Linked DNA regions of Diceros bicornis minor. The protein of the gene in region 4 interacts with the protein of the main gene of each other region in a pairwise test. Links are inferred from orthologs where the notes say so. Each region holds a gene or a part of one and is shown on either strand. Other genes may lie near its edges. The genes, in order: DNAJC7, XRN2, MPPED1 and DISC1.

What was found.
Region 1: the proteins of DISC1 (region 4) and DNAJC7 interact in binary tests that used the Homo sapiens proteins (3 or more experiments, as listed by UniProt). The link is inferred for Diceros bicornis minor from reciprocal best matches to the Homo sapiens genes DISC1 and DNAJC7.
Region 2: the proteins of DISC1 (region 4) and XRN2 interact in binary tests that used the Homo sapiens proteins (3 or more experiments, as listed by UniProt). The link is inferred for Diceros bicornis minor from reciprocal best matches to the Homo sapiens genes DISC1 and XRN2.
Region 3: the proteins of DISC1 (region 4) and MPPED1 interact in a two-hybrid assay, tested with the Homo sapiens proteins (2 studies listed by BioGRID and IntAct). The link is inferred for Diceros bicornis minor from reciprocal best matches to the Homo sapiens genes DISC1 and MPPED1.

The regions. Positions count from the first base shown.
Region 1 is NC_080757.1:41,231,850-41,238,754, forward strand, and holds the start of DNAJC7 (dnaJ homolog subfamily C member 7), read right to left. Parts: upstream 3,003-6,905; 5' UTR 2,974-3,002; coding exon 2,897-2,973; intron 1-2,896. UniProt on the Homo sapiens protein: Acts as a co-chaperone regulating the molecular chaperones HSP70 and HSP90 in folding of steroid receptors, such as the glucocorticoid receptor and the progesterone receptor.
Region 2 is NC_080758.1:47,785,142-47,792,910, reverse strand, and holds the start of XRN2 (5'-3' exoribonuclease 2), read right to left. Parts: upstream 3,010-7,769; 5' UTR 2,968-3,009; coding exon 2,893-2,967; intron 2,450-2,892; exon of another isoform or gene 2,124-2,449; coding exon of another isoform or gene 2,055-2,123; intron 1-2,054. UniProt on the Homo sapiens protein: Possesses 5'->3' exoribonuclease activity. May promote the termination of transcription by RNA polymerase II.
Region 3 is NC_080764.1:6,667,856-6,675,118, forward strand, and holds the start of MPPED1 (metallophosphoesterase domain-containing protein 1), read right to left. Parts: upstream 3,014-7,263; 5' UTR 2,861-3,013; intron 1-2,860. UniProt on the Homo sapiens protein: May have metallophosphoesterase activity (in vitro).
Region 4 is NC_080745.1:24,572,594-24,579,538, forward strand, and holds the start of DISC1 (disrupted in schizophrenia 1 protein), read right to left. Parts: upstream 3,011-6,945; 5' UTR 2,955-3,010; coding exon 2,684-2,954; intron 1-2,683. UniProt on the Homo sapiens protein: Involved in the regulation of multiple aspects of embryonic and adult neurogenesis. Required for neural progenitor proliferation in the ventrical/subventrical zone during embryonic brain development and in the adult dentate gyrus of the hippocampus.

The DNA.
Region 1 (6,905 bases), on a different chromosome or scaffold from region 4:
TGCAAGCTTCTCTCATTTTGCCTCCTGTGGGACAGTAAAAATTTAGCAGCAGCAGCAGGATGTCCTTGAGCCAAGACACAAGGAAGGAAGGACTCCAGGCTGGACTTCACAAAAACAACCCAAGAGACCCATCAACTTCCGTGTCCCCAGATGAACTGGTAGTCGGACTGTAATGAGAGACAGAAACTTGGTCAAATGACTAACCAAGCCAGATACTAAAGGGCACTTGTAAAGGAGTTCCTATCCCTGCCCTTTGCTATGCCTACACAGGAGGATTCCAGGATATGTGTAAAATGTAAAACAACCTTCCTCCAAATCTTCTAAATCCCCACTCCACTTTCAGCACTGGAAATCCATAGGTAAACAAAGCTTTTTCTTAATAATGGATCTCAATGTTTACCCTCCTAAGGATGCCTTATATGGCAGAAAGTCAAACTGATTTTTTTTATTTCACTATATTTTCCTTTTGATTTGCTCACACCTAAGTGGTATATAATAAACATCTGTTTTATTATGTCTAAAAGATATCCGTATAAATATGTATAACATGTAAGTCTATTTGGTAAGAAAGCATTTTTTCAGTTAAATTTAATTATTTTTTCTTAGTGGTAGATTAAAAATTGTGCATTTTACAATGACATCTTAAATTCTATGAAATAAGGCAGTTAACATAAGTCAAGGGCCAGCCCCGTGGCTTAGCGGTTAAGTGCGCCCACTCCGCTACTGGCGGCCCGGGTTCGGATCCCGGGCGCGCACCGACGCACGGCTTCTCCGGCCATGCTGAGGCCATGTCCTACATACAGCAACTAGGAGGATGTGCAACTATGACATACAACTATCTACTGGGGCTTTGGGGAAAAAAAAAAGGAGGAAGATTGGCAATAGATGTTAGCTCCGGGCCAGTCTTCCTCAGCAAAAAGAGGAGGATTAGCATGGATGTTAGCTCAGGGCTGATCTTCCTCACAAAAAAAAAAACATAAGTCAACATCCTCTCCTATTTTGTTAAGATTTTATTTATTTTTTCCCCCTAAAGCCCCAGTAGGTAGTTGTATGTCATAGCTGCACATCCATTCTAGTTGCTGTATGTGGGACGCAGCCTCAAGCATGGCCGGAGAAGCGGTGCGTCGGTGCGCGCCCGGGATCCGGGCCCGGGGCCGCCAGCAGCAGAGCGCGCGCACTTAACCGCTAAGCCACAGGGCCGGCCCTCTCCTATTTTGTTAAACTGCTACCAAATACCATATGTTTTTGTATAACACGCTCACATTACAACATCACCTGTTTTACGTGTTTTAATCTATCTTTAGGCTCATTTACTACAGTTTTATGATAGAATACCCTCTAAGGCTGTAATTTTTTTTTTTTAAGGAAAAAGACTTACTTTAGATAGGAGGCTTTGAAATGAAACTGAAATTAGAGACAGTCCTACATCAGAGATTTACAATGATTACGATGAGTTTTTTTTAATTACATATAGCCCAAGTCTCTATTTATAGCACAAAGAACGACTAAACTCTTCCCAAAGTAGATCCTTACAATTAATTTAAACTGTGTTGAACTCTTTGTTTATTTTGCAGTTCCTTAACGATGCTGAGGATGCTTAATTCTAAATACCTGTAAAGAACTAGGAACAATGTGAAAACTCAATACTAAAAACACAGAGAGACTAGACTCTGACATCCTGACTTCTCTGACATCCCAGGGACCTACTACTACATGTTGTCAAGCCTCTCAGCTCCCAACAGGTCAGGAACTTGGAACACTGGCTGCAGTAACTACCCTTAAGCTGGATAACCATTCATTCTGCCTCACTGAGTACCTCTTACGTTTCTAACTTGGACAGTAAAAGATCTCAGAATCCTGATTTCAGTTCTCATGAACTAATTTACATCGCCACCTCAAATCACCCAGACTGAAGCCATAATGAGCTTGCTATAATGATACGAAATATGTGGGAAGGAGACTGAGGGAACTGTAGTCAACTAATCTGCAGTTGATAAAGAAAGGGCTCCAAATTTCCAGAACCTTTTCGTTAATTCTGCTTCAGGATTATGTCAAGTATGACTACCCACAACTGTGTTCCAACCCCACTTCCAACAACCTGCCTTAGCTGTAGCCAGAATCCAGAGCGTTCTCGAAAACCACTCACTCAGCAGCTCCCCTGGCTAGTCCGGACTGGCAAACTCGAGCCACTGCCGCTGCCCAGCAGTGCCAACAGCGCCCAAGGAGCTGCCCTCCTCCTTCCTGCTTAAGAAAGAACAGTCCTGGAAGAATGAAGATCTTAGGAAGGAGGATGGAGGAAAAGGAGTTTGACGTGTAGACATGAAACAAGCCCCTCACTCTTCCTTCTTTCTCTATCACCTCCGACTTCTGGGGTAACCGGGGGGCGGAGGGAGGACAAGGTCAATAATGGAGACATACAATCACCTCGGACCCAGACTAGGACTCGCTGGGGTATAAATACGGAAAAAAGGGGGTGAGGACAGCACAGGCTTTGGTGATGCAAAATGCTGACAGACAACAATGCACAGAAGTTAACAAGAGAAGGCGGGGGTCAGGGGCGATGTAAGGCAGTCGTCATTGTCGCCGCGCCGCCTCCCCCACCCCGCCACAGACCTCTGAGAGCTCCTCAGGGACCTGGCTTTTACAGTCAGGACGACCTTCTTCTCTGCTAGAGAACACAGCTGTGCCTCAACTCCCCGGCCAGGCGGAAGCGGGAAGGAGGGCCGACCTCCGAGAGCGCCCCTTCAGGGGGTCCATCCGGACTCGATCTCAAATGGGGGGGGCGCGGAGGGCGGGGCATCGCCTTCACAACTAGGGGCTGCATCATGGCAGGGACGGGTTTCCCGGAGCCACGGAGCAGAAGCTCGTCCCTTCCACTACCCTGTCACCCGGTTACCTCTTCGCGTCTTCGTCGTAGAGCAGCTCTGGCTCGGTCGCCGCCATTACCACATCGCACCCAGCGGCAGCCGCCATCTTACCGCCGGGACCAGAGAGCCGAGTGGGAGGCAGGCGGTGAAGAGCACTTCCGGTCGGAGCATCGAGCAGCTCGGCGGCGCTGCGCCCAGAGGGGCTCCCTCGAGCCCGTCTACCAGCGAGAGGCTCTACTTGGGGCCAGAGCGGCCTTCCGCCCCCGGAGGTCCACGGTGGTCTCCGCCCCGGGGCGGGGGCCCAGGCACGATTCCTGTGCGTAGGGGGCGCCACTGTACCCGTGGGTCGGAATAGGAGGGTCTAGCCTCTCTAGGTTTTGGCTTCCCTCAGTATTTCAAGAGCCTCGTTGCCATAGCAACCTCCAATCCTAGAGAGTCTCCTGTAACGCTCCGGAAAGCCTGAGCTGGGTGGGAACCCAGTGACCCAGGACTCTGGAGGGAACGAGCACCCTCGACTACCTTCCCGACCTTGGAGTGTGTCCACAGCTTCCTCCTGGGAAAGGCAAGAAGAGACACTTTGAGCCCGGTTCCCCAGCGTTCATCGGCCCCTGGAAGCCCTGCCCAACCAAGCCAGGGAAACGCAGGGCGTCTTCACCCCGCGCCTTTCATCCCCTCCGGATCTGCAAGCGTCAACTGGTTCATGACTCTAATGACGCTGACCCTTTTACGAGGCTGCTTTCGTGTCAGCCGGCTAGGAGTGCCATCTCAGCATTAAGGCTAGGGAGGGTGGCAAGCCCCAGACCCTGCCCTGGAGTTTATGAGGCAGCTCCCGGGGTGAGCTCCCTGCCCCAGTGTCCCCCGTACCCCCACCCCTCAGATAAACTCGCTGCTCAGCGCGCTTGTCTTGCCGAATGCAGTCTGGATTGGGAACTCAGAGGGCAAGGACGCTGCCTAATCGTTTTTGTAGTACTTCCCTCACCCAAAGCAATATTTGTGGACCTGAATTAAATTGGGGTTTTCTGAGGTTAAATTGGGGGAATTTGAGGTTAAAATTTTTAAGCTAAGGAAAACTAAAATAAGAAGGGGGCGTGGGCACTTAAAAAGGATCTACTCTGTTCCTCCAGTAAAATAGTGTGTGCCCTTGTCCATAGGCTACTTGTATGGTCACTGCCTATCACAGTGCTAAGGGAGGGGAATCCACACCCATGCCTGAGTAGGGGAGGATGGGAGAGGCTCAGTGGGTTGGAAGAGAGGTCATCCATCCAGCTAATCATTCAATAGCCCTCCCAAAGTGCCCACTCTCCCTGCTTTAATTGGGAGGGCACAGACTCACAGACCACCTGCCCTGCCTGCCAATGGCTCCCAGTCCACAGCCTCATGCGGGAGGCAGTCTTGCACCATCTTCCCACTTTGTGTTCCCTGCATCTATGCCAACTCATCTACTCTCACAGCTTTAACTTGATCTGTCGTTGACTCTCAGCTCTGTTGATATCTCCAACCTAGACCTCTCTTCTGAGTTCCAGATTTGTATATTCAACTATCTACCGGATATCTCTTGGATGTTTCACAAATCCTCAAGGCTTAACATATTTTTTTATTTTTTGGTGAGGAAGATTAGCCCTGAGCTAACATCTGTTGCCAATCCTCCTCTTTTTCTTGAGGAAGAGTGGCCCTGAGCTAAGAGCTGTGCTATCTCCGTCTATTTATATGTGGGACACCTGCCACAGCATGGCTTGATAAGCGGTGCATAGGTCCATGCCCGGGATCTGAACCCGCAAACTCTGGGCTGCCAAAGCGGAGCTCGTGAACTTAACCACCACTTGGCCGGCCCCAAGCTTAACATATTTAAATTGAATTTGTCATTCTCTCCCCACCCCTCAACAACTGAAAAACAAATGCTGTACTTGATTCTCTTTTCCTGAATTCCCTATCTTGTTGAACGGGTCACCATTCACCTGGTCACCAAGTGAGAAAGATGGGAAACATCATGAACTCCTCCGTCTCACTCCTGACTCCTAACTTACCACCAAGTCTTGTTGATTCTCCTACCAAATGTCTCCCAAATCTATCACCTTTCCATCCCATTTCAGGTTCCCGTCATTTTTTAAAAACTTGGAATACTACCAAAATCTCCTAACTGGCCCCCAGTCTCATTTCTCTCCAATCTTCAGTCTTCTGCCAAAATGACCTTCTTAACAGCAAAAATTGATCGTATCACTTCACTAGCATAAAACCTATCAATGGCTTTCCACTGCTGTTAGGATACAGTTTGAGCTTTTTGGCCTACCACCCAAGATTATTTGGCTCCTTTCTACCATTAGTATTGAACTCAAGTACTTGTAGTTCCAGAAAATGCCATGACTCTTGCCATGCTTTCTCCACCCTTTCCTCCCAAGCCCTTTAAACCTCAACACAGACATGACCTACTCCAGGAAGCTCTCCATGATGCCCACTGCCTCCAAGTTAAATGCCCCTTTGCTGTGCTCCCATAGCTCCTCTGTGATAGTTCTTGCCATACTGTACTGTAATTGTTGGTTTAGATGTCTGGCTTCTCTAGACGGTGACATTCTCATGGGCAGCTACAGTGTATAATTCGTCTGCTTTTTCTCAGCTCTTGGTCCTGTACCTGACACAGAGTAGGTGCTCAGAAGACATCTGATGAATAAACGATTGAATAAATGAAGTGTTACTGAACTATGGTAGCCTTTAGGGAAAGAACATTTGGTCATCAGACCCACCGGACCAACAGCCCGCGTCCGGGGAGCTGGAATCATATGCGCTCAACCAGCCCAGGTCCTGGCCGTCCTTTCCCCCGCCGGCGTCTGGGGGCGCTGTGAGGGCCGTGCCCGCTCTCCGCCGCCGGAATTCGTCTTGCCGGACGAAAGCTAGGGGGCGGGGCCCGCAGAGCCTGGCTCGACCCGGAAGAACGGAGGCCTTGCGGCCGTGCTGCCTTGCCTGCGGTCCCTGCGTTCCTCGAGGGGCCCGGCCGGGGTGCTGCGAGGGCCCCGGGAGGTACGGAGCTGGCAGGCCAGGGTCAGCTACCGTGTCTGGCCGCTTTAGGTGGCAAGTTTCTGCGGCCTCTGACTCCCTCTGGGGGTCCCATCGTGGGGAATCTGGCGGAGGCCCCTCTGGCTTTCTCATGGGTATCCCTTATTCCGGGGCTCACTACATACATGGGGCTCCTCGGGGGGGAGTGGGGAGGAGGGTCCGACTCAGGAGTTTCCGCTGGAGAGGTTTCTGTTTGAGACCCCTTTTGAGTGTGATCTCTGTATTTCTGCTCCCTGGGGGACTCTGGGGCTTCTTCTGGGAAGCCTGTGTTTAGGATGCTTTCGAGGAAGTCTCTGGGGCCTCTTCGGAGAAGGAATTTCTGTGTCTGAGGCTTCTCATCTGGGTCTGTCAGTCTAAGGGTAGACTTACCCTTAGGAGGGTAAGGAGGAGACAAAAAATTGTCTCCTTTTCGAAGCCTTTTTCCCTTAGATTTCTTCACTCCTGTCTTTCTTGTCTGATGTTCTTCATCTTAGCCATGGACTTGACTGGGAATTAGAGGTCATTGATTGTCGCCTAGATAAGTCATACAGGAAAGCAGAATATCCTCCTTATTTGCTCATTTTCCCCAGGAAGAGTGGCTTAAGACAGATCCACACAAAATAGTATTCCTGCTTATTTTTCTGTGGGGTGGTGGTTAAAGAGAGGAAGCTGAGCCAGAGCTCCCTTCAGCAACTGGTCCTCCACATCCTGTGCACAGAGAAGAACATGACCAGTGGTTCCTTTAAACCAGCGACCCTCTACTCTCTTTATGGCAACATATACTGAGCACTTGCTCTCTGCCAGTTCCTGGCCAGATACTGGGAATAACAAAGATCAGTAACGTACAGCTGCCTGTCTGGTAGTGGACACAGACACATCACTTCAATACACCCTGACTAGAGTAGGGGTCAGTGCTGAATCCCTAAGGCTATGCATTCAGTTCAGAACTTGGGCTCTCAATTATAGGAGGTCTGCCCTTTGTTTTGATCCCACCTCACCCAGTGTGCTTCT
Region 2 (7,769 bases), on a different chromosome or scaffold from region 4:
AATGTTTTAGAGGTGACGCTCATTATCTTGATTATGGTGATGGTTTCATGGATGTGCACATATCTCAAAATGTATTAAACTGTACACTTTAAATATGTGCAGTTTGTTGTAGGTCAATAATACCTCAATAAAGCTGCAAGAGGAGGAGGAGAGGAGGGGGAGAACAGAGAGACAAAAGAAAAATACATCAGTCTAGGAGGACCAGGATCCAGAGTTCAGAGAGGGCAGTGAAAAAGGAGGTCAGGAAACAATCAAGGAGCATTCCCTAGAACTGAAGAACACACGTCTTCAGCCTCAGAGTCAGCCAAGCACCAATCAAAATAAACTTAAATTTTAAAAAAATCTATACCTAAGTACATAATCATGAACACTTACACTACCAAGGATAAAGATCTTGAAAAGATTCAGAAAGAAAAATAGATCAACTACAAAAGAATGAAAGCAGAACACAGAAATTAAGAGCATGGCCTTCCTGATTTTGACAATGGCTCTGCCGTGTATTAGCCAAGTGACCCTGAGTACATTACTTAACCCCTCTGTGCTTCAGTTTTCTCATCTGTAATAATAATAATAGTAAGTAGTAGTAGTCATGTGGTTGTTATGAGAATTTAATAAATTAATCTATAAAGTGCCTAGAACAGTGCCTGGTATGTGTTAAATACTACATAAGTATCGGTTAAATAAATAAATCACATTAACATTCAACTTCTCATCAAAGGGCTGGCCTGGTGGTGCAACCAGTTAAGTGCGCGCACTCCGCTGCGGCGGCCCAGGGTTCGCCGGTTTGGATCCCGGGCGGGCACCGACGCACCGCCTGGCAAGCCATGCTGTGGCAACGTCCCATATAAAGTGGAGGAAGATTGGCACGGATGTTAGCCCAGGGCCAGTCTTCCTTAGCAAAAAGGGGAGGATTGGCAGATGTTAGCTCAGGGCCGATCTTCCTCACAAAAAAAAACTCATCAAAAATACTGGATGACATAAGTCAAAAGAACAGCACTTTCAAAGATTTGAGGGAAACTAATTTGCAAACTCAAACTTGATGCCTAGCTAATGATCACTCATGTGTACAAGGGTAGAACAGAATCAGAAAACTCACACCCTGCACAGCATTTCTTAAGAATTCAATTGAGAATAAAAACCAAGGAAGGATTTAGGCCAAGAAAGATGATCAGAAAATAGTACCCTCAACTGAAGAAAGGAATTTTTAAAAATCTCAGGAAGCAGCTTTCCAGCAAGCCTAAAGAACCAGGTGTGACAACAACAGAAATAAAGACCTCAAGAAGGAGTCTCCAAGAAGAGGACTTGATAGAACACCTAATAAAACAGCGAGTTTGGATGTGGAACCGTATAAAGAGGAAAACAGAAAGATAACACCAAGAAAAAGACAAAAGTAGCACAAGAAAAGAAACAGTATCACAGCATAACTTGAATCTGGAAAGTGACAATAATTTACAATACTATTTGATTTTTCAGCTTTTAAAACAATCCTATATATAGCCAAAGCCGTGACAATTTAGTTTGGGATGCCAACAAAGCAAAAGTACAGCTGGCAAGCTTGGCGTGAAGAGTAAGAGCAGCAGAGGTAGAAAACTTATAGAAAAGCTAATACCTAACCTTAGAAAGTGAGAAGTCAAGGGATACTTTAAATAGAAGATGTAATAAAAAAGACACATTACTCAAAGTTATAAAGCTTACCAAGAGATGAAATAAAGACAGCGATTTACTATTAGGAATGGGGCGGGGGAGCCGCATAAGTGACGAAATCCTCTTCTATCATAGCTAGAATTCAACAGATAGATCCAAAACCAATAAATCAGGCATAATCATGATATCTAGAGACAGAACCAAAACAGTTAAAAATGGTTATCTCTACAGAGTAGAAACGGGATGAGATGCAAGTAAAGTTTGATGGAAGTTTTAAAAACAAAGGAAACCAGCATTCAGTTTAACAGCTTCTCTTTGGGAAAAACACAAGGAATACTGAAACTGCCGTCAAAACAAGGCTTTCGGTTCCTCCTGGATAGAAGCTAAGTAAAAATCAAGATCTCACCAACCTCAGCAAAAGAATGCAGTTCACTGTGACTGACGGGCACTTCCTTCAAAAACGAAGGGGCGAGGGGCATGAAGCGCCGCTGAACCTTCCCAATCCGGAAATTCTAAGCACAAAATCGAACTCGGACGGGATCACGGGAACGATAAAGAGAAAACTCAATAATGGCCAGAAGTCTACATATACATTAACAAACAAACAACAAGTATTTAAGTGCATCCAGGAATTCTGAAAATTTCAACAAGCATTCTGTCCAGCAGTCGGGGCACCTAGAGAAGGGGGCACTTATGAGACTTCTATCTCGTCCTAGACGTTTCTAAGATGCTGCTTTCACCGTAGGATCTAAAACAGCAACAAAAGTCCTTTCGCACCAGGAGAAAACCTTTCGAGCACGGGCAGTAAACAACAGAAAGCTCGCCGCGGGGGGTTACTTTACAAGGTTGTAAGAGGCTGGAATCAACATGTGCGCCTCGCTACCCAGGTAACTCAGCGGACCAGGCGTGTGCAGCCCAACACCTTCGAGCCTGTTCTGAAACCCAAAATGCGCTGTGCCGAGAGGAAACAAAGCCGTGGGCGGGGCCTTCCGGGCCGGAAAAAGCGGGCAGGGGAGGAGCAGCCCTCCAGCGAGCACAGACCCCGCTCGGCCCTCGCCCCGCCGAGGCTGCTCTCCCAGGGCCCCGGAAACGAGTGTCGGCGACCAACCGCGTGTCGGGCCGCGGGCGCCCGCGGGGCCCACAGAGCAGCGCGGGCCCCGGACGGCACCCCGGGGACGGCCGGCGGGTCCCGAGGGCCGCGGCCCAGACGCGCTGGGGCTCCGGGCTTGCCGCCAGGCACCGCCTCACCTTCTCTTCCACGCAGTTGACAATGATGGACGGGTACTTGCGGCTGAGCCAGCGAAAGAAAGCCGGGACTCCCATAGCGGCGGCGCGGCCCCGGACGAACGAACGTAACCAGAGACAGGCGGGAGCGGCAGCCGCGGCACCGGGACTTCCTCCCACGTGCGCGCCGTCCGGGAAGTGATGTCACGGCGCCGCCGCCGGGGAAGCCGGGAAGGAGGCTCGGGGCCGGGCTGGTTGTGGGATTCGGGGTTCTGCGGCTGACCGGGTGGTGGGGGCTGCGGCTGGCCTCGCTTGCGGCGTTAGCTTTCAGTGGTGCCAGCCCTGAAGCCCGAGGTCGACCTCATGTGAGTCGCGGGGAATCCCGGGATGCGCCGGCGTCTTGCTTCCCCAGCCCTCGGGTTCCACTGGGGCGGGATCCCCGTGCTCCGCAGGCGCCCGGGGAGGTCTTCCTTGCCGGTTTGATCACCTCCTTTTTCTCACCCATCTCAATTCAGAGTAGAATCAAAGCGTCTAAACACACTCATTATTTCTATGGCCTGGTTTCTCCCGGTTTTGTGCCACAGTACGTACTTGGACTATGAAAAGGAATATTTTTAGGTATTTTACACGAATGATGGCTGGTTTGCGTAACTCCCTTTAGTTATAAAAGGGGATCTAGCCGGCATTTAGCATCTAATTCAACCTTCCAGCTACATTTATGAGTATAAAATAATTGCTGGTATCACTCTCCAGCATTTGAGTGCTTACCACGTACTAAAGCTTTGGCTAAGGGATTATCTCATTTAATTGTCACGTGAACCTTCTGAGAGTGTTAACATATTATCATCTTCATGTAACAGATGAGAAAGCCAAGCTGTAAAGGGGTTAAGTTACTTGCTTATCGGGCCGGCCCCGTGGCTTAGCGGTTAAGCGCGTGCGCTCCGCGACTGGCGGCCTCGGTTCGGATCCCCGACGCCCACCGACGCGCCGCTTCTCCAGCCGTGCTGAGGCCGCGTCCCACATACAGCAACTAGAAGGATGTGCAGCTATGACATACAACTATCTACTGGGGCTTTGGGGGGAAAAAATAAATAAATGAAATTATGCTTGCTTATTCATACTGCTGTGTTTCAGTCCAAGTAAAGATCGTTTAATGCTGTCCTTACAGTAACAGGATGCTTTTATTCTTTATTTTCTGATGGCTTCAAATCCTTTTTTTAAGCATATACAAAGAGATCTGGAAGAAGAGATATTTATGTCCATTTGTTCAAGCCTGGAAGTGTTTCTCCATGGAATCCCCTCTTGGCTTGACAAATCACGCTCAGTCCTAAAGGCTCACCTCAAGAGGCCTCTATGAAAGTATTTCTCCGTGCTACCTGGTGTGCAAATATTTACTGCCCCTTCCTCTGTGGTCTGATGCCACTTTAAACTTCTTTAAACTGTTTAAACTGCTGGTGTGGAAATTAAGAGAAATGGTTAGCCCATATTTTACTTAAGGACAGCCAGAACTATTCCAGAGTATTATGTCTATTGTGAAGTCCCTCATTTCTTCTGGAAACAGGCCCTACTCATCAAGTATTTGGTTCCCCTAGGAGGTGCTGTGTTCTTGTAAGACCACACACAAGGTACGTGATTGAACAGCTGGGCAAATTGGGCCATTGAGAGTCCTTGCCCAGCATTTTTGAACTGAGAACCATAGGAAGGTAAGGCAGTCCCTCCCAGATAGCTGAAAGCTGAAAGAGAATGGGACTTGCTGCCAGTCCACAATGAGAGAAGCAGATTTAAGTCCCTGGTTCCAGTGGTTTTTGAGTACAGCTAAATCCCTCTTCCTGCAGCTTGGTTGGTAAACCTATTCTTTAATTCTATGAGCCAGTAAATTCTCCTTTTGTCCCAAGCTAGTTTGGGCTAAGTTCCCATCCCTTGCAAAGGAAAGAATCCAAACAAACCAGTAACAAAATTTGAGGAGTACACAGCTAATTCACCTGGGTGCTAGAATTGCTTTGCATAAAGGAGGTACAAAAATTGGAATTTTGGGCACTGAGAAAAGGGGAGGGTGAAAGTGGAAGTAGAGAAGAGAGGGAACCTGAAAGATGGCAGGAGGATATGGACTAAGTATTGTGAGATACCTTCCCCAGCCCAGTGTTTCTAATAAAGTCTACCAGACTCAGGCTCACTGTGGGGTTTGTGTTGTCGAATTTGAAAAAGAGTATGAGTCTCATGTCGGGGTCACTGTGGTGTACAGTCACAGGGCTGGGCAGCATAGCAGAGCTCAAGAAGCAGAAGAGGTGAGAATTTGTAAGCATTGGAAATTAGCAGGAATATTGAACCAGGCTTTGAACTTCTGTAGGATAGGAACCAGGAGGTTTTGAATCATTTTTGCCTAGACCTCAAGGGAGCAGGGGAGGCCTCCCAGCTGACATCTAGATTACATTAACGTGTAGACTATATAGAAACCAGAATGTGAACATTCATAAATTCATTTTAAAGCCTTGTTAACATTGTAATTATAGAAATGAATCTTTAAAAAATTTTGAAAAAACTATTGCTATCTGGATTATCAAGTGCTTCCTTTGCCTCATTATCTTTACAAAATTCATTGTGAATAACCTGATGTATTTAAAATAATAGTTGTGATAGTTAATTTTATGTGTCAACTTGACAGGGCCACAGAATGCCCCAATATTTGGTCAAATTTTATTCTGGGTGTTTTTGCAAGGGTGTTTTCCTATGAGATTAACATTCTAATTGGTAGAGTAAAGCAGATTGTCCTCCATAATGTGCATGGGCCTTATCCAGTCCATTGAAGGCCTGAACAGAACAAAAAGACCAGCCTCCCTAAGCAAAAGGGAATTCTCCAGCAGACTGCCTTCAGAATTCATCTGCACCATCTGCTTTCCTGGGACTCCAGGCTGCCAGCCTTTGGACTGGAACTACACCATCAGCTCTCCTGGGTTATCTAGCTCACACTGCAGATTTGGACTTGACAGTCTCCCTAATTGGGTGAGCCAATTTCTTATAATAAATCTCTTTATATATATATATATGTATACACACACATACATCCTATTGGTTCTCTTTCTCTGGAGAACCCTGACTAATACAGATTTTGGTACCAGGAATGGTTTGAGAGGAATAGAATCTTAAGAATGCATTTTCTGATTTGGTTCTGGGGCTTCTGGAATTGACTCTCTAATCTGATTAGATTTAAAGACACTGGGGACTATTTCCAGTAATAAAGAGAGCACTGATAGTACATGGTGTGATCTGGCAATAGAGATAGGCAAAATATCACCACTGGATATTCCTAATCAACCACTTATAAAAAGCAAGAATCTGGGTGACCATGTATATGATACTTCAAGCATTTTTGTCAAACTAACAAATATAGTGGGATTGGCTGGTTGCTCCTAACGTTGGTGGACAAAGTGGGGAGAGAAAAGGATGAACTCAGAGATTCAATTTCCCAGCTCAAGCACCACATAAATGACTTAAAAGAATCTATGTCTGCCCTGAAAGAAACCCTTATCCCCTGTAGCCACAGGGCTGAGATGGCTGAAAACCAAACTCAGAACCCTATCTACTATCTCAGAACTTTATCCTGGGAGTGAATTACAAAACAAATTGAATTCCCAGCCTCACTGATGTCTACTGATAAAGTGAGGGCAGTGTTTGGGAAGGAATGGATGGAATCCTAAAAGTTGGAATAAGGACATGTGGGAATACTGATGGAGCTGGGGGCATTGAGACCCTTAATTCTGATTAGTCTTGGACCACTTCCATCATGAAAGGGGCAGCATTTGTTCTTATTGGAACAGACACATGCTGGATACAAATTTGCCTTCCCTTCCCACAATGCTTCTGCCAAAACTGCCACCCGTGGACTAGAATGCCTTATCCACCATTATGGTATTCCAAAAAGCATTGCTTCTGATGAAAGAACTCTCTTCATAGCAATGAAGAACAGCAATGGGTCCATGCTCATGAAATTCACTAGTCTTGCTGTTTTCCCTACCATCCTGAAGCAGCTGGTAGGTAGAACAGTGGAATGGCCTGGTGAAGCCTCAGTTATACTGTCAGTTAGGGGGCAATGCCTTGCAGGGATGGGACAAGGTACTCCAGGAGGCTGTATATGCTCTAAAGCAGCATTCCATATATGGTACTATTTCTCCCATAGCCAAGATTCACAGGTCCAGGTATCAAGGGGTAGAAATAGGAGTGGCACCACTCACTATTACCCATAGTGACCCAGTGGCAAAATTTTTGCTTCCTGTTCCTGTAACCTTATACTCTGCGAACCTAGAGGTCTTAGTTCCAAAGGAAGGAATGCTTCCACCAGGAGACATGGTAATGATTCCACTGAACTGAAAGTTAAGACTGGCACCTGGCCATTTTAAGTTCAACAGGCAGAGAGGGAGTTACTGTGTTGGCTGGGGTGATTGACCTTGACTACCAAGAGGAAATTGGACTGCTACTCCACAAAGGAGGTAAGGAAGGGTATGTCTGGAATATAGGAGATCTCTTGGGGAATCTCTTAGTATTACCATGCCCTGTGATTAAAGTCAATGGAGGGCCGGCCCCATGGCTTAGCGGTTAAGTGCACACGCTCTGCTATTGGCGGCCCAGGTTCGGATCCCGGGCACGCACCAATGCACTGCTTGTCCAGCCATACTGAGGCAGCGTCCCACATACAGCTATGTATGTGGCTACAACTAGAAGAATGTGTGACTATGACATACAGCTATCTACTGGGGCTTTGGGGGAAAAAAAAAGGAGGAGGATTGGCAATAGATGTTAGCTCAGAGCCGGTCTTCCTCAGCAAAAAGAGGAGGATTAGCATGGATGTTAGCTCAGGGCTGATCTTCCTCACAAAAAAAATTAATAAATAAAGTCAATGGAAAACT
Region 3 (7,263 bases), on a different chromosome or scaffold from region 4:
TGTTTGAAACATTCCCTTCACCCCCTCTCCTCACTGCCCCCCAAGTGTTTGGCACATCTGACCCTAGAGGGCGAGACATTTGGCCAGAAGGAAGATCTCTCAAGCAGCCTCTCTCTCATCTGAGATGCCATTAACTGTGATCTGTTGGTACAGAGTGAGCCTCAGAACCCAGCCCAGGCCCCTGCATCTGGGGAGCCCCTTCCCCTAGGGTCCCTCACTCCAGAGGTGCGGGCAGACAAAGGTACCAACCACAGAATGGAGAGATCTCAGGGAGAAGAAGAATGGAGAGGGGGGGACGCTTTAAAAGACCCTTTTTCTGTTCCCGGTGAGGGAGGGGCGATGGGAGAGACATGTCACATTGTCACATTAAAGATTTTGACAGACACTTCAGGGATAACGCAGAAATTCCACCCTCAACAGCAGCTCGCCGTAACTTGAAAGGCATTAACTAACCTCCACTAATTGCATGTTTTTCTGTGCATGATATTTACTTGTTAAAAGTCTTTGCCTGGCCAATTCATTTCCTCTGCCCTGCTATTCACAATCAGTTCACAGGCCTGAAATTGAAAAAATGAAATCATTTTGATAGATTAAAAGATGATTGCACTTTGGGAGGGTTTTCTGTTTTCCACTCATCCGGAACCCGCACCCAGAATGCTGATTTTTCTCCTTGAGTGCTACCCTTCAGGGAAATCCTGCTACCATCCTTAATTCCTCAGACAAGTACAGAGAGATGTGTCCTGGATTAGGTGAGTACACGAGGGGCCATCGCTGCCTGCAGGGGAATGCAGCAAGTTCAAGGAAAACAAATGAACTTAAATTACTTTCATTGGATGAAAATTTAATACTCTCACGGGTGGATTGGGAAATTTCTAAAAAGCAGGCTTTTCTTGAATGGTTATTCTACATGTTGGTCTATGCATTACTGACACAGTTTGGGCAGAAAGACCTCAAAGCCTCAGTTTTTTTACCTAAACTTAGACCTGTTCTGTCTTTCCACAAACACAGCCCACGGGGCATCGGCAGGGGTGTGTGTACAGGATTCTAAGTGCACACACAGCAGTTACATCCGAGACACGGCATCGTGCAGGCAGGCTACCCACATCGACAGTACGGGGATCTACTTCACTCCAGGTCTTCTGAAATTCCCGGGGCGGAGAAACAAATAGGAAGGCAGTTGAACCCCTTCCGAATACACAATTAAACCTCTGCCACTGGATTATTGCCTTTTGACTAGGCATCAGCCAATTAATGTACCTCCACCGAGTGAGCACTCAAATAGATGTAACCATTTCGCAGAAACCCATCTTGAGAAAAAAAAGATTTTACAAGTGTTGTAGGGCTGCCACTCGGAAAGCCAATTTGCAGGGAGCTGGCATCGTGAAGCACGGTTTATTATGCATGGCTCCCACACAGTGGTCCCCTATACACTGTGCCCGGATCCAGAATGCCTCCCGATCACCACCGGCTGGCTCTAAAGTCCCTGTGTGCTCCCTACCGCCAGAAGCCTGCCTCAGCCCAGCCAAATCCACCACTCCCTTCCCAAATGGCCGCCCAGTGCCATGGACCAAGGCCTGGCTTCCAACTTGGATGTGGCAGTCAGCTGGTGGCCTCTCCGACATCCCCCAAAGCATTTTAGCTGAGGAGACAAATTATTCACGAAGTTGGTTTAATTTTTTTTTTCTTATTTTTTTTGCAAAGACCAGTCAGGGTATTGACAGTAGGGGTGTCTGCCTGAGCCCCCCAGCGTGGTTGATCCCTGCTAACAAGTCTGCACCACCATTGAAGTCCTGCGAGCCAGCTCAACCATTCACCAGCGGGCCCACTTTTGTTCCCTGGTTTAATTTCATAATTATTTGCCACTTAACAAGCTCTCCTCCGGGCTGTTCAATAGGGGCCTTGGAAATGGGGAGGGGGAGGCAACCAAGCTCCTGGAGAACTGGGAAAGGTTCGGATCCAGCACTGGGGGAGAGACATCCCAGAAAGGTGGCCGGGCAGACCTGGGGGCCAGTTCCAGGGTGGGGCCTCCCAGCCCAAGTGGAGAGGAGATAGCAGGGGATGCAGGAGGGTGGGTGTAGGACCCCAAGCCTCGGCCCGCCGCAGACTCCTCAACATGTGAGCTCTCAGACTGACCCTCCTCCGTCTCCACCCGGGGCCTGGGAGACTGTGCGTGAATTCACTCTCCTATAGCAAGTCCCAGAATAAACACACAGGAGACGGGACTGCTCCCTAACCTGGGCATTCTATGAAATATCGCCTGTGAGGGCTGGGACCCGCCTGGTTAGTCACGGAATCCCCTGCGCCCGGCACACAGCAGACAGTAATAAATATGTGTGGAATGAGTGAGTGGATAGATGGATGGACGGATGGATGAAGTTTCCAGCAATGCCTAGCAAAAGTGGCCACTAGACCAGCATTAATCCCCCCCTCCCCTGCCTCCAAGTACCAGAAGGGCTCCGCTGCGCACAGTAGGCTCTCAACGACCACGGGCTGCTATTGTTATCACCATCATCATCACTCGCACCCGACCAGTTCGCTTCTCCCACCACCTACTCCGCCAGCAGCCAGCAGCGACTGGCGAGCTGGGGAAAAGTTTCGTTGACCCCTCGGCCCCAGTCAGAGTCCAGCGCCCGACCGAGTCCCCGGCGGCGCCCGCTCGGCGGGCAGGGCAGCGGGGGTGCCCGGCCGGGGAGCAAGCACCGGGCAAAGGCAGCCAAAGTAACTTTGCGGGCGCCCCTGCGCGGCGCCGCGGGCGTCACCCCGCGCCTGGAGAGGGTCCCGGCCGCGCCCCGGCCATTCCGGCGCCCACGCCCCGCGCCCGCCGCGCCCCGGCCAGCTCCCCGCCCGCCCCCGGCCCTACCTGGCCCCGGGCTCCTCTTCGGCGGCCGCGGCGGCCGCGAGCAGCTGCGCGCACGGAGGGAGGCAGGGGCCCGGCTCCGCGGAGGGAGGCGCGCAGGGGCGGGGGCTCCTCCGGCGGCGGCCGCCTCGCCGCGCGTCCGAGGCAGCAAGTGGGAGCCAGACTCCTCCTTCGGGGGGCGGGGGGCTCCCCGGCGCCCCCTCCTTCGCCCGCCCGCCGCGCGGCTCCGAGCCTCAACAGCTCCCCCTCCCGCCGCCGCCCTCCTCCCTCCCTCCTCCCACCCCGCCTCCCCCCGCCCCGGCGCCGGGAGGGGCGCGCTCGCGCCCTCGGGCCCGGGCCCAGCGCGGCCACCCGCCGGGGCCCCCGCCAGGCCGGCCAGGCCTCGGCCCTCGGCCCCCGCCCGGGCCCGGCGCCCGCATCCCGCCGCCCAGGGGTGGGGAGCGGGGCAGGCGGCCCGGACGGGGGCAGGAGGAGCGCGGCCCGCGCTGCGGAAAAGGGCAGGCGGCCGGCCCGCCGCGCCCCGCGCCCCGCGCCGGCCCGCCCCCAAAACCCCAGGCCTGGCCGCGCGCGGGGTGGGCGGGGAGCGGGGCGGGGGCGCTCTCACCTCCGGATCCGCGGCCGCCGCAGCGGGCACCGCGTGCAGGAGCGCGCGGCTCCTTCCGGGGCGCCGTGGCCCCCGCCCCCGGCCCGGACCCCCTCCCCGGGCGGCGAGGGCACCCTGCTCTGGAACCCTCCCGCTGGGGGTCTGAGAGTACCCCCTCCGCCCCCCTTTTGGGAAGACCCCAGCTCCTAGGCTGAATAGGCCTGGGTCCCCTTCCTGTGCCCCCATCCTTTCCCCTGGGGGTCCCAGGTCCCCAGTCCCTGGGTGCACTGGGTGGCCGGCTGGGGCCTAACCCGGAGTGAGGCAGGTAAGCAGATCAGGGCTTGAGAATCTGGCCTTGGTCTGAAGAAGGCCCTGCCTTGTTGGGGAGAGGGGAGAGCAACACCGCCAACCAAGGTGGTCCCACCCTGGGGAGTTTGAGAGGCCCCTTGTGACCTCTGTCCCCCTGCCACCGGTGGAGAGAGGTGTCACGACACAGGCCAGTCCCGGACTGAGAGGGAGGTGAGAAGGGGGTGTGGCTCCTCTGAGGCCCATCTAAGGCACCTCCACAAATGTTTGAGTCCCCTTCCCCCACCACACTCAGGTCACACATGCCACCCACTCCTGCATTCATCGCAGCTTCAGACACAGTCCCTGAGGACACCCTGTGTGGGCACCTCAGGCCTGGCATGCCCTTGGGGAGAGCCCAGTCTGGTAGAAAGGCAGACAGGGACACAGAAAAATTCCCCTCACAGGTGCAGGAGGGGAAGTGGGGATAGCTACCTCAGGGTGGCTTCGTGGAGGTGGACACACCCCAACTGAGTAAGTGTCTGCTAAGGAGAGAAGGTATGGAAAAGGCATTCCAGGCAGAGGGAACAGTGCATGCAAAGGCCTTGGCATGTTTGGAATGGCAGCTTCAGTGGGGCTGGAGAAGGGGGGGGCGGGGAACAGGGGCTGGATCAGGAAGAGCCTTAGCTGCCTGCCTAAGTAGACTTTATTGGGGGTGGTGGGGAGCCATAGAAGGTTTTTCAGCAGGGGCATGACTTGGTCGCATTTATCTTTTTAGAGTTTGCTGAGGCAGCCCTGACAGAGGAGGAGAAGGGGCTGTCAGGGAGACGCTGGCGCTGCCAAGGGAGATGATGGAGGCCTGGGCTGGGGCCCTCAGGCAGGATAGGGGGCAGAGGCTGACCCAGGGAGCCTCAGATGGGCACCCTCCTCCTCTTCCTTGTCTGTGGACCTCACTTCTGTCACCCTGTGCTGGGGCGATTCTGGGGCCGAGAGAAGAGGCCAGGCTGGAAATACACCCTCAGCCGGTCGAGTGGAAGGACAAGTGAGGCCCTGAGTGGGGGCACAGCCTGGGCAGGCCCTGTGCTTCTCCTCGGGAGCAGCGAGCTGCCACACCGTCTCTCTCCAGGGCCAGTCCTGGGAAGCAGCTTCCCCAGTGCCCTCACCCCGCCAGACACGTCCCCCCCATGATTACTCACTCTGCCCACCAGGGCCACACGGACCTTTGCAAGATGCCCAGCTCGGGTCTGCCTGCCCTGTGAGGGTCGGAGCCCCAAGGAAGCTCTTCCCAAGCCAAGACGAGAGGAGCGTGGGAGCAGTGACCTGGGAATTCAGGGAAGAAAGCCCAGGTGAAGGCACAGACTGCTGCCCAGGAGGAAGTCGGGTCAGTGGCCCGAATCCGCTGTCAGCCGCACTGCTCAGGTGGCTGCAACATCCACTTGGCACCTGTGTCATCCTAGGAACCGTGTGTGTGCCAGGCCTGTGCTGGGTGGCTGGGGAGGCAGGGGGCACCTGGTGCAGCCCCTGCCATCCAGCCTTGGCCAGTGAGAGACTAAAGGGGAGAGATACTCAGGGACCAGCCTGGACCGAGTGTGGGGTGGGGAAGGGAGAGATGCCCACCCTGGGGGCGGAGCAGGGCTTCCTGGAAGAGGGCACGAGGGCTGGGCCTGGAAGAAAGGTCAGAATGTGGACAGGGGAGATGAGACTGACAGGCGTTCCTGATAATAGGAAGTGCAGATGCCCAAGAGGAGAAGGGCAGGGAGGATAGGAGGGTGCAGACCCCTAAGGGACTGGAACATGCCATGAGGCAGGCCACGTGGGGCCTTGAGTGCCACGCTCAGCAGGCCATGGGAGCCTCTGAGGACATGTGAGCAAGATGCTCTATGGTGTCCTGTGTCCCAGCGCCCAGGACAAGGCCAGTGTTGAGTGAGTGAGTGAGTGAGTGAATGAATGAATGAGCGAATGAAGGATGAGATCACTAACCTAAACTCCCCTTAGCACCAGAGCCTCCCAGCTCCTCCAGCTGAGCTGCGCACCTCTGTGGAGCATGAAGGAGCGTCCCAGACTCAGCGGGGAGCACCTTTCTCCCTTGAGGGCTCCAGGCTTCCTGAGCACGATGTCTCCGAGGGAGATGAAAACCATCATGCCTGCCCGGGAGACAGGACTTGAGCTCAATAGCCCAACAGACTCCACCTGCTGCCTGCCAAGGTCAGAGCCACAGTTTGGCCATGGCCTCAGGAGACCCCAAAGGATACACAGTTTGAGACAGTGGAGAATCTGTGTTCCTGGTCCCTGGGGAGAGAGCACAGAAGTTCCTGTGATTCTCATCCTCCAGGCCACCTTCCTCACCACCTCCAACCCCACCAGCCCTCCCCTCAGCTGCCAGAACACCATCTCTTACCTTCTTGTTACACGCATTTATTGAGCACCTACTATATGCCTAGCACTTCTTTGGAGCACTTCCTTTGGAGCAAATCATGAGCTCCCCCCAAAGGGGCCTGTACCACCCAGTCCCAGGCACTGAGCTCTGAGTTTGACCCACACCTACCCTGGACCAGGCTGCTTCCTGGAGGTGGGGCTCTGACTCATCCCACAGGACCTGGGGCTCAGTAGGTGCCCAACTAATGGGTTCTGAAAGACAGAGAATGAGGAGTGTGGGATGGGCAGCGTAGACCCACTCCTAAAAGAGCAACCAATCTGGCAAACACAGCAGACATTCTGCTTTTGGAAAAATTTAATAACACAGTGGCACTTGTTCATGAAGACTAACAGAAACACCACATAGGCCCACACTGCGAAACCAGGCAGGGGAGGGCTCGTTCAGCTGGGATGCTATTCCCAGGCACCTACTATGTGCTGGAGGCCGGGGAGAGAAAGAGGAGAAGGCAGGCTGTCTGCCCACAGAGAGACAGGAGGTCGGCAGATGCTCATGACACCAGGGAGAAGAGGGCACCTGAGGGCGGGGAGAAGGGCAGCAGATGCAGCCTGGGACCGCTTCAGAAGGAGGTGATGTGTGTGTTGCGGAGGAGTAAGACTTCACTCTGGGAATAAATGGGAGAGGGACCCCCCAGTAGAGGGGCCAGCCTGTGCAAAGGCTCAGAGTCTCAAAGGAACATGGTATGATACCCCCTGGCCAAGAAATTCACCTTCCAGGAAGGTGTCCCAAGGCAGTAACCGCAGGCTGTCTATAATAGCCCCAAATCAGAAACAAGCTAAATGCCCAGCCAGGGGGGATCGGTTTAAAAAATTATGGTATGTCCAGGGAATTTCAAGTAGCCAAATCATGTTGCTGAAATGTGATGTGGCGGGAAAATGATATCCGTGCTCGTCACACATCCTATGAACAAGTGAAGTAGGCTACACAGGAGTGCACCTGATTCTGTGCCTTGATGAATGAGAATTAGGAAGAGGGAGAACAAGAAGATAGGAAGTATATAGAGCAAAATGTCAACCCTGGGGATGAGATAATGGGTGATTTTTTACTTAATTTATGGGACCTTGTCGTCTCCAACTTTTCTATGATCACCAGAATATCGGGAGG
Region 4 (6,945 bases):
TAATAAATTCTGGCTTCTTTTTTTCTAAATTAATGTCTTAATGTTCAAGCAACAAGCAAATATTATTTTTTTCATTTAAAACAATAATAGTTTGCATCCCATTTTTGAAACAGATATAAATTGATGGACATAGCACAGAAATGGATTACAAGAGCAGAGACACCAAGCTATTTGTCTCTATTGACACTCCACTCCCCTTCCTTTTGGCCACTTGCTTTCTGTGGCTCAGGATCACTGTTGTTTTTTTATGTTCTTTTTCTTATTTATAGTTTTCTGTGCTTCCTGTAATGAGCACGCATTGCTTTTGGAAAAAGAAAAAAGAATAAGAGAAATTTCATTTAGGAAACAAATGACTTAGGAATTGTTTCTGCAGCCTGTAGACCTGGCATTCACCCCCCTTCAGGTGCACAGACTTTCTCTGAAGGTCCACGTCCCTCTGAGGTCATCTCAGTGAGCAGTGAGGTCCCTACAGAAATGTCCTGGGTCCCAGCCCTGCAAGGTAACCATGACACCAAAAGCCTCAATCCCAGTTACACCTCTTGTGCCATTCTAAGGTTTCTGGCAAATTTAAGCGTTAAAATAAAATTAATTCCGATTCCATTTAGTCTGAGATTTGCAATGAGTTATTGTAATACGTTCTTTCAAGATTTTAATACCTTTTTTATTGCAAATTTTCATTGTTTATTTTTGCAAGAAAATAATTTAAAATGGGATTTTAAAATAGAGATGAAAGAAATTAAGATTATTTCAAAGTCTCTTCTGCCAGGGCTAACAATTCACTCATATTTTAGAGTCTGTAAACATGCAAGACATTATTAACTGTAATCTAACATTGGTCTACTCTGAACCATGGCTCATCTCCATAACTTCAGTTTGGTCAGCGGTTGAGAACACACTTGTGAGAGGCACCCACACCGGATTTTAATCCTGGCTCTACTCTTAACAGCTATGTGACCTTGGGACAAAAGCAGAGTAACCTTGATTATCAGCTTTGTACAGGGAAAATGAGGATTATAAATATCTACCTCACAAAGGTTTGGGGCGGATTTCATCAGAAGAATTCCTAACAGATGGCCTGACATTGTAAGCTCTCAAAAAATTGCCCCTGTTATTCTTCCCTCCTGGTAGCAGTGACGTCTCATATTAGCCAGTGACTCAGACTCTTCAAGGTGCTTCCAGATTTTTTACCTCATTTGATCCTCAGGCAGCTCTGTCAGTACAAAAAGCCATAATTACCGTCCGCATTTTTCTTTTCTTTTATCTTTTGTGTAAACAGATGAGGAAACCGAGGCTCAGGGTCAAAGCACTCCAGACCGCTTTTTGCTCAGTGACACAGTTCTCAGCTGAACCCCAAAAGACTTTATGTGCCGTACCTGAATGGAATAAAACTAAATTTCTTCTCAAATACTCTGCTATTCATACTTTAATCAAATCAAACTGGTATTTCCACATCTCTCCAAATCATTTAGGTTTTGCTTAGTAAAAATAGCAACTAAGGTTATTTAGAGCTTACTCCACATCTCAGGCCCTGGGCTCAGTGCTTCACAGCCACTGCCACATTTAAACCCCGTAACAACCCTATGAGGTGGGCACTGTCATTGTCCCCATTTAACAAATGGGGAAACTGAGGCATGGCTAAGTCCAAGACTGAGATGCAGGCAGACTATCTCCAAATTCCAACTCTTAGTTCTCTGGTACTACCCAAATTGCATTTGTCCAACTGACAGTTCGGTTGGCAAAATGCCTTCATGCACAACACGTGTGAGACAAGGAGGCGAGGTAATGGGTGCTCTCTCTTACATTTGAGGAAACCAAGGCTCCCAGATGCTAAGCGTTGTGTCTAAAATTACCCGGCCCTCTGGTGGCCCAGCAAGGACGCAACGGCAGCACTCCCTGACTCCAACCCGCATTCTCGTCCGAAAGTCTCAAATGCCTTTGTAGGTATTTTAAGAGTAAGGTGGTAGGACACGTCCTGTCACTCTTGAAAAGCAACCATCAACTTAATGGCTTCGGTGTCAACACTGAGAGTTGACAGCGTGACCCGTGTTCTGGGAAGTGGAAACGGAGCGGTCTCTCCTTAGCCCGGCCGTGGGCGTTGCTGTCGCCAAGTCGGAAGTGGGAGGCGAAATTGTTTGCAGAGCAGCCCCTTGGGCAGGTGCCAGCACCACATTCCTCATCCCACCCCCAGCTCCTCTCTCCGGGTCCCCGACGGGGTGGAACCCGTCTCTCAGCGGGGTCTCGGGACGAGGGCGAGCCGGGCGTCCCCTGTCCCACAGGTGAGCGGGTGAGGGCGCACAGCGACGAGAGGCTCGGCGGCGCCGGGTCCCGGGACTGACCCAAACCCCAGGCAGGCCCTTGCCGCCTTCCTCGGCCACCAAGACCCGCCACGGGGGCGGGTCCTACCAGCGCTGTTTCGAAAACTGCCGCTCGCCGGGATCTCAGTACAGTCGGAGGGGAGAGACCTGGCCCGGCTCGGCGCAGGCGGGCAGCCCCAGACCGGACTCCTCCCCCAACCCCGCACGCCACGCGCCCTGCCTCAGTTTCCCTCACCTCGAAAAGGGTGCACAGAACCCAAGCTGTTAACAGAGGCACACCCAGACCCACACGATTTCCAGGGGGCAGAGCGCGCCCTCCCTGCCCGGATGCCCCCGGCCCCGCCCGCCTGCGGTGACAGCTACCCTACCTGCGCGGTGGCCCCCGCCGCCACCGGCCGGGGCGCCCTGGGGACCCCCGCCCAGCATGCGCCCCGCCGGCTCCTCCCGCTCCGCTTCCGCCGCCTCCAGCTCGTCGGCGGTCAGCAGGCTCGGTGCGCCCGAGGCCCGCGGAGGGGGAAGCGAGGCGCCGAGCCGGACGGGAAGTGGGGAGGGGGCCGGCGAGGAATAGGGAGGCTCCTTCCTTCTCCCCGGCGAGGCGAGCGGTTTCCTTTCCAGCCTCGGCCCCTTATGCACACACATACACACACACACACTCACACACACGCACGCACGCGGCTGGGGCGGGCGGCCCGGCAGGCCCACAGCCCGTCTCCCAGACCTCTGAAAGTTCGCTTTTCACTCTCGCTCATTTGTGGGCGAAAATGAGAGGGGAAGTGCGGTGGGGCGAACGGGAGCGCAGGGAAGGAGAGACGGCGAGGCCACCAGGGGTGGGTCTACGAGGGCGCCTCCCACACGCGTGATTAGGGAAGTGACCAAAGGGTTGGTGAGGAGACGGAGGGGATGAAAGGGTGAGGAGAAAGCGGGGAGACGACAGATGACGCTGGGAAAGAGATGAATGGGAGCAGTTGTTCAAAAATGAAATGTGAATCCAACTTTTTGAATCTTCAGGCAGCACTGGACTGGTCCCAGAGCCCCCTCCCCATCTTGGACGCAAGCTGTGATCCGTGCGGAGCTCCTAGGCTACTGACTCACCTCCTTCACTTCTTCTCTTTGGCTCATTCAGGAAGGCTACTGGAGCACCCCCTTAGGTAGCACCTGCCAGAAATGGTTCTTGCCCTTAAGGAGCTCGCCTCCAGTCGGGAAGATAAACAGATGCATATAAAACTAAATAGCAACATATGGTAGGATATGCCAAGAGCCAGAGTCTTGGCACAAGAGTCTTGGCACGGAAAGTGTTGCAGAAGTTCCAGGGTAAGAGGGAGTCTTGTGAAGAGTCAGGGAGACCTTCTGGAGGAGTGGGCAGGATGTCACTAGAACTAGAGGAGGGCCAAGGTCCTTCAAAAGATAAGAATCTTGGGAGTGAAAACGCACTCCCAAGTCGTTGTGTTGTGGACAGAATGAATATGAGAATGGATATTAAGGATGTGTGGAAGATGGAAGGAGCATAAAGCTGGATCTGGCTGAGTTTAATGATATATACCACTAAGAGAACTGGATTCAAAGCTGTAGTTTGAGAGATTAGAAAAGGCTCTAACAGTTTGGTTCTAGATTGAAACATGGACCAAGAGCTGTCCTACACTGGAAATGCGAGAACTGCCTTGCTATACTGCTAAGGAAGTACCCAAAGGCTTAGGGGGATTGGAATATCAGAGTGGATTTATCATGTAAGACCTGCTTTCCACTCCAGGAGGGTTCAGAGGACACACCTTTCACTGTGACTCAGAAATAACCTTGTGACCCAGCATCCTTGGTCACTCTTCTCTCTGTCAGACATTACAATGGGAACTGCAGCCACTGAACTAGGATCCTTGAATGCAACGGGGATAATTGGATTATAGTTGACAGGGGTCAAATGGTGGCAATGAATCACCCAAGGCAAGGTGGGCATGATTTCTGTAATGGACAACAGAGTCAAAGCACAATCAGAATAGTCTGACTCCCACAGACCTACAGTGTCGGTGTCGGCAAGTTGATCATGGCGTTCCTAGAAGTGAAATAGATGGGAGGCCTACTAAATTCTTATTTGATCTGTATAAGCAGAAAAGTTCTAGGTCAAGTGAACAAAAGCCTAACTTGAATTACCAGAACAGAGAGACTCAGCCCTTCGATCAACTGGCAGACTTGAGGCAGTTTACCAACCCAGAACTTCTTGAATGAAGGAGGAAAGACCCTACAACACTGCCCAAAATGTATACTGTTACTCTTTCTTCTAGCCCTCCCCAAGGGGACATATGGCCTCTTACCAGGGTGACTGTGCATTGGAAAAAGGAAATAATCAGACTTTTCAGGAATTACTGGACACCGGCTCTGAACTGACACTAATTCCAGGAGACCTAAAACATCACTATGGTCTACCAGGCAGAGTAGGGGCTTATGGAGGTCAAGTGATCAACAGAGTTTTAGCTCAGTTCCCTCTCACAGTGGGTTCCTGCACCCATCCTGTGGTTATTTCTCTAGTTCTGGAATGCATAATTGGAATAGACATACTCAGCAACTGGCAGAATCCCCACATTGGTTTTCTGACCTGTGAAGTGAGGGCTATTATGGTCGGAAAGGCCAAGTGGAAGCCACTACAACTGCCTCCACCTAGGAAAAGAGTTAACCAAAAGCAATTCTGCATGCGAAGACAGATAAAAAAGATTAATGCCACCATCAAGGACTTGAAAGATGCAGGGGTGGTGATACCCACCACTTCCCCATTCAGCGTGTCCATGTGGCCTGTGCAGAAAACAGATGGATTTGGAGAATGACAGTGGATTATCATAAACTTAACCAGATGGTGATTCCAGCTGCAGCTGCTACACCGGATGTAGTTCCATTGTTTGAGCCAATTAACACATCTCCTAGTACCTAGTATGCAGCTGTTGATCTGTGAATGTTTTTTCTTCATATCTGTTAGTAAAGACCACCAGAAGCAGCATTCTTTCAGCTGGCAAGACCAGCAATACACCTTCACTGTCCTACCTCAGGGATATATCAACCCTACCTCATAATTCAGTCAAGCAGGGACCTTATTGCCTTTCCTTTCTGACACTGGTCCATTACATTGGTGACGTTATGCTGGTTGGACCTAGTGAGTATGAAGTAGTAACTACTCTAGGCTTATTGGTGAGACACTTGCATGTCAGAGAGTGGAAAATAAATCTGACAAAAATTCAGAGGCCTTCCATCAGTGGATTTTCTAGAGGTCCAGTGGTGTGAGACATCCCTTCTAAGGTGAAGGATAAGTTGTATTTGGCCCTTTCTATAACCCAAAAAACAGGCTCAACACCTAATGGTCCTCATTGGGTTTTAGAAGCAACATATTTCTCATTTGGGTGTGCTTGCTACTCAAGCCCATTTACCAAATGACCTAAAAAGTCGCTAGTTTTGAGTAGGCCCAGAACAAAAAAGGCTCTCTGCAACAGGTCCAGGCTGCCATGCAAGCTTCTCTGCCACTTCTCTGCCATAAGATCCGGCCAATCCAATGGTACCTGAAGTGTCAGTGGTGATAGAGATGCTGATGGAGGCTTTGTCAGGCCCCTATAGTTGAATCACATCACAGATTCTTAAGATTTTGGAGCAAAGTCCTGCCATCCTCTGTGGATAACTAATCTCGTTTTGAGAAACAGCTGTTGAGTTACTACTGGGCCTTAGTGGAGACTGAGCTCTTATCCATGGGCCATCAGGTTACCCTGCAACCTGAACTGTCCATCATGAACTGGGTGTTGTCTGACCCACAAGCCGCAAAGTTGGGCGAACATAGCAGTGCTCCATCAAATGAAAGTAGTATATATGAGACTGGTCTGCCTGAGCAGACCCTAAAGGCACAAGTAAGTTACATGAGGAAGTGACCCAAATGCCCATGGTCCCCACTCCTGCTACATCACCTTCTCTCTCCCAGCCTGCAGCTATGGCCTCATAGGGAGTTCCCTACGATCAGTTGACTGAGGAAGAGAAAACTCAGGCCTAGTTTACAGATGTTCCTGCACAATGTTCAGGCACCATCCAAGAGTAGACAGCCATAGCACTACAGCTCCTTTCTGGGACATTCCTGAAAGACAGCAGTGAAGGAAAATCCTCCCAGTGGACAGAACTTTGAGTAGCGAACCTTGTTTTTCAGTTTGCTTGAAAGGAGAAATGGCCAGAGGTACAAGTGTATGACAATTCGGGGACTGTGGCCAATGGTTTGGCTGGATAGTCAAGAATTTGAAAGGAACATGATTGGAAAATTGGTGGCAAGGAGATCTGAGGAAGAGGTATGTGGAGAGACCTCTCTGAACGGGCAAAAAACTTGAAGATATTTGTGTCCCATGTGATTGTTCACCAAAGGGTGACCTCAGCAGAGGAGGATTTTAATCATCAAGTGGATAGGATAACCCATTCTATGGATACCAGTCAATCTCTTGCCCCAGCCACTCCTGACATTGCCCAATGGGCTCATGAACAAAGTGGCCATGGTGGCAGGGATGCAAGTTATGCATGGGCTCAGCAACATAGACTTCCACTCACCAAGGCCAATCTGACTATGGCCACTGCTGAGTGTCCAATCTTGCAACAGCAGAGACCAAAAATATGGCACCATTCCCCA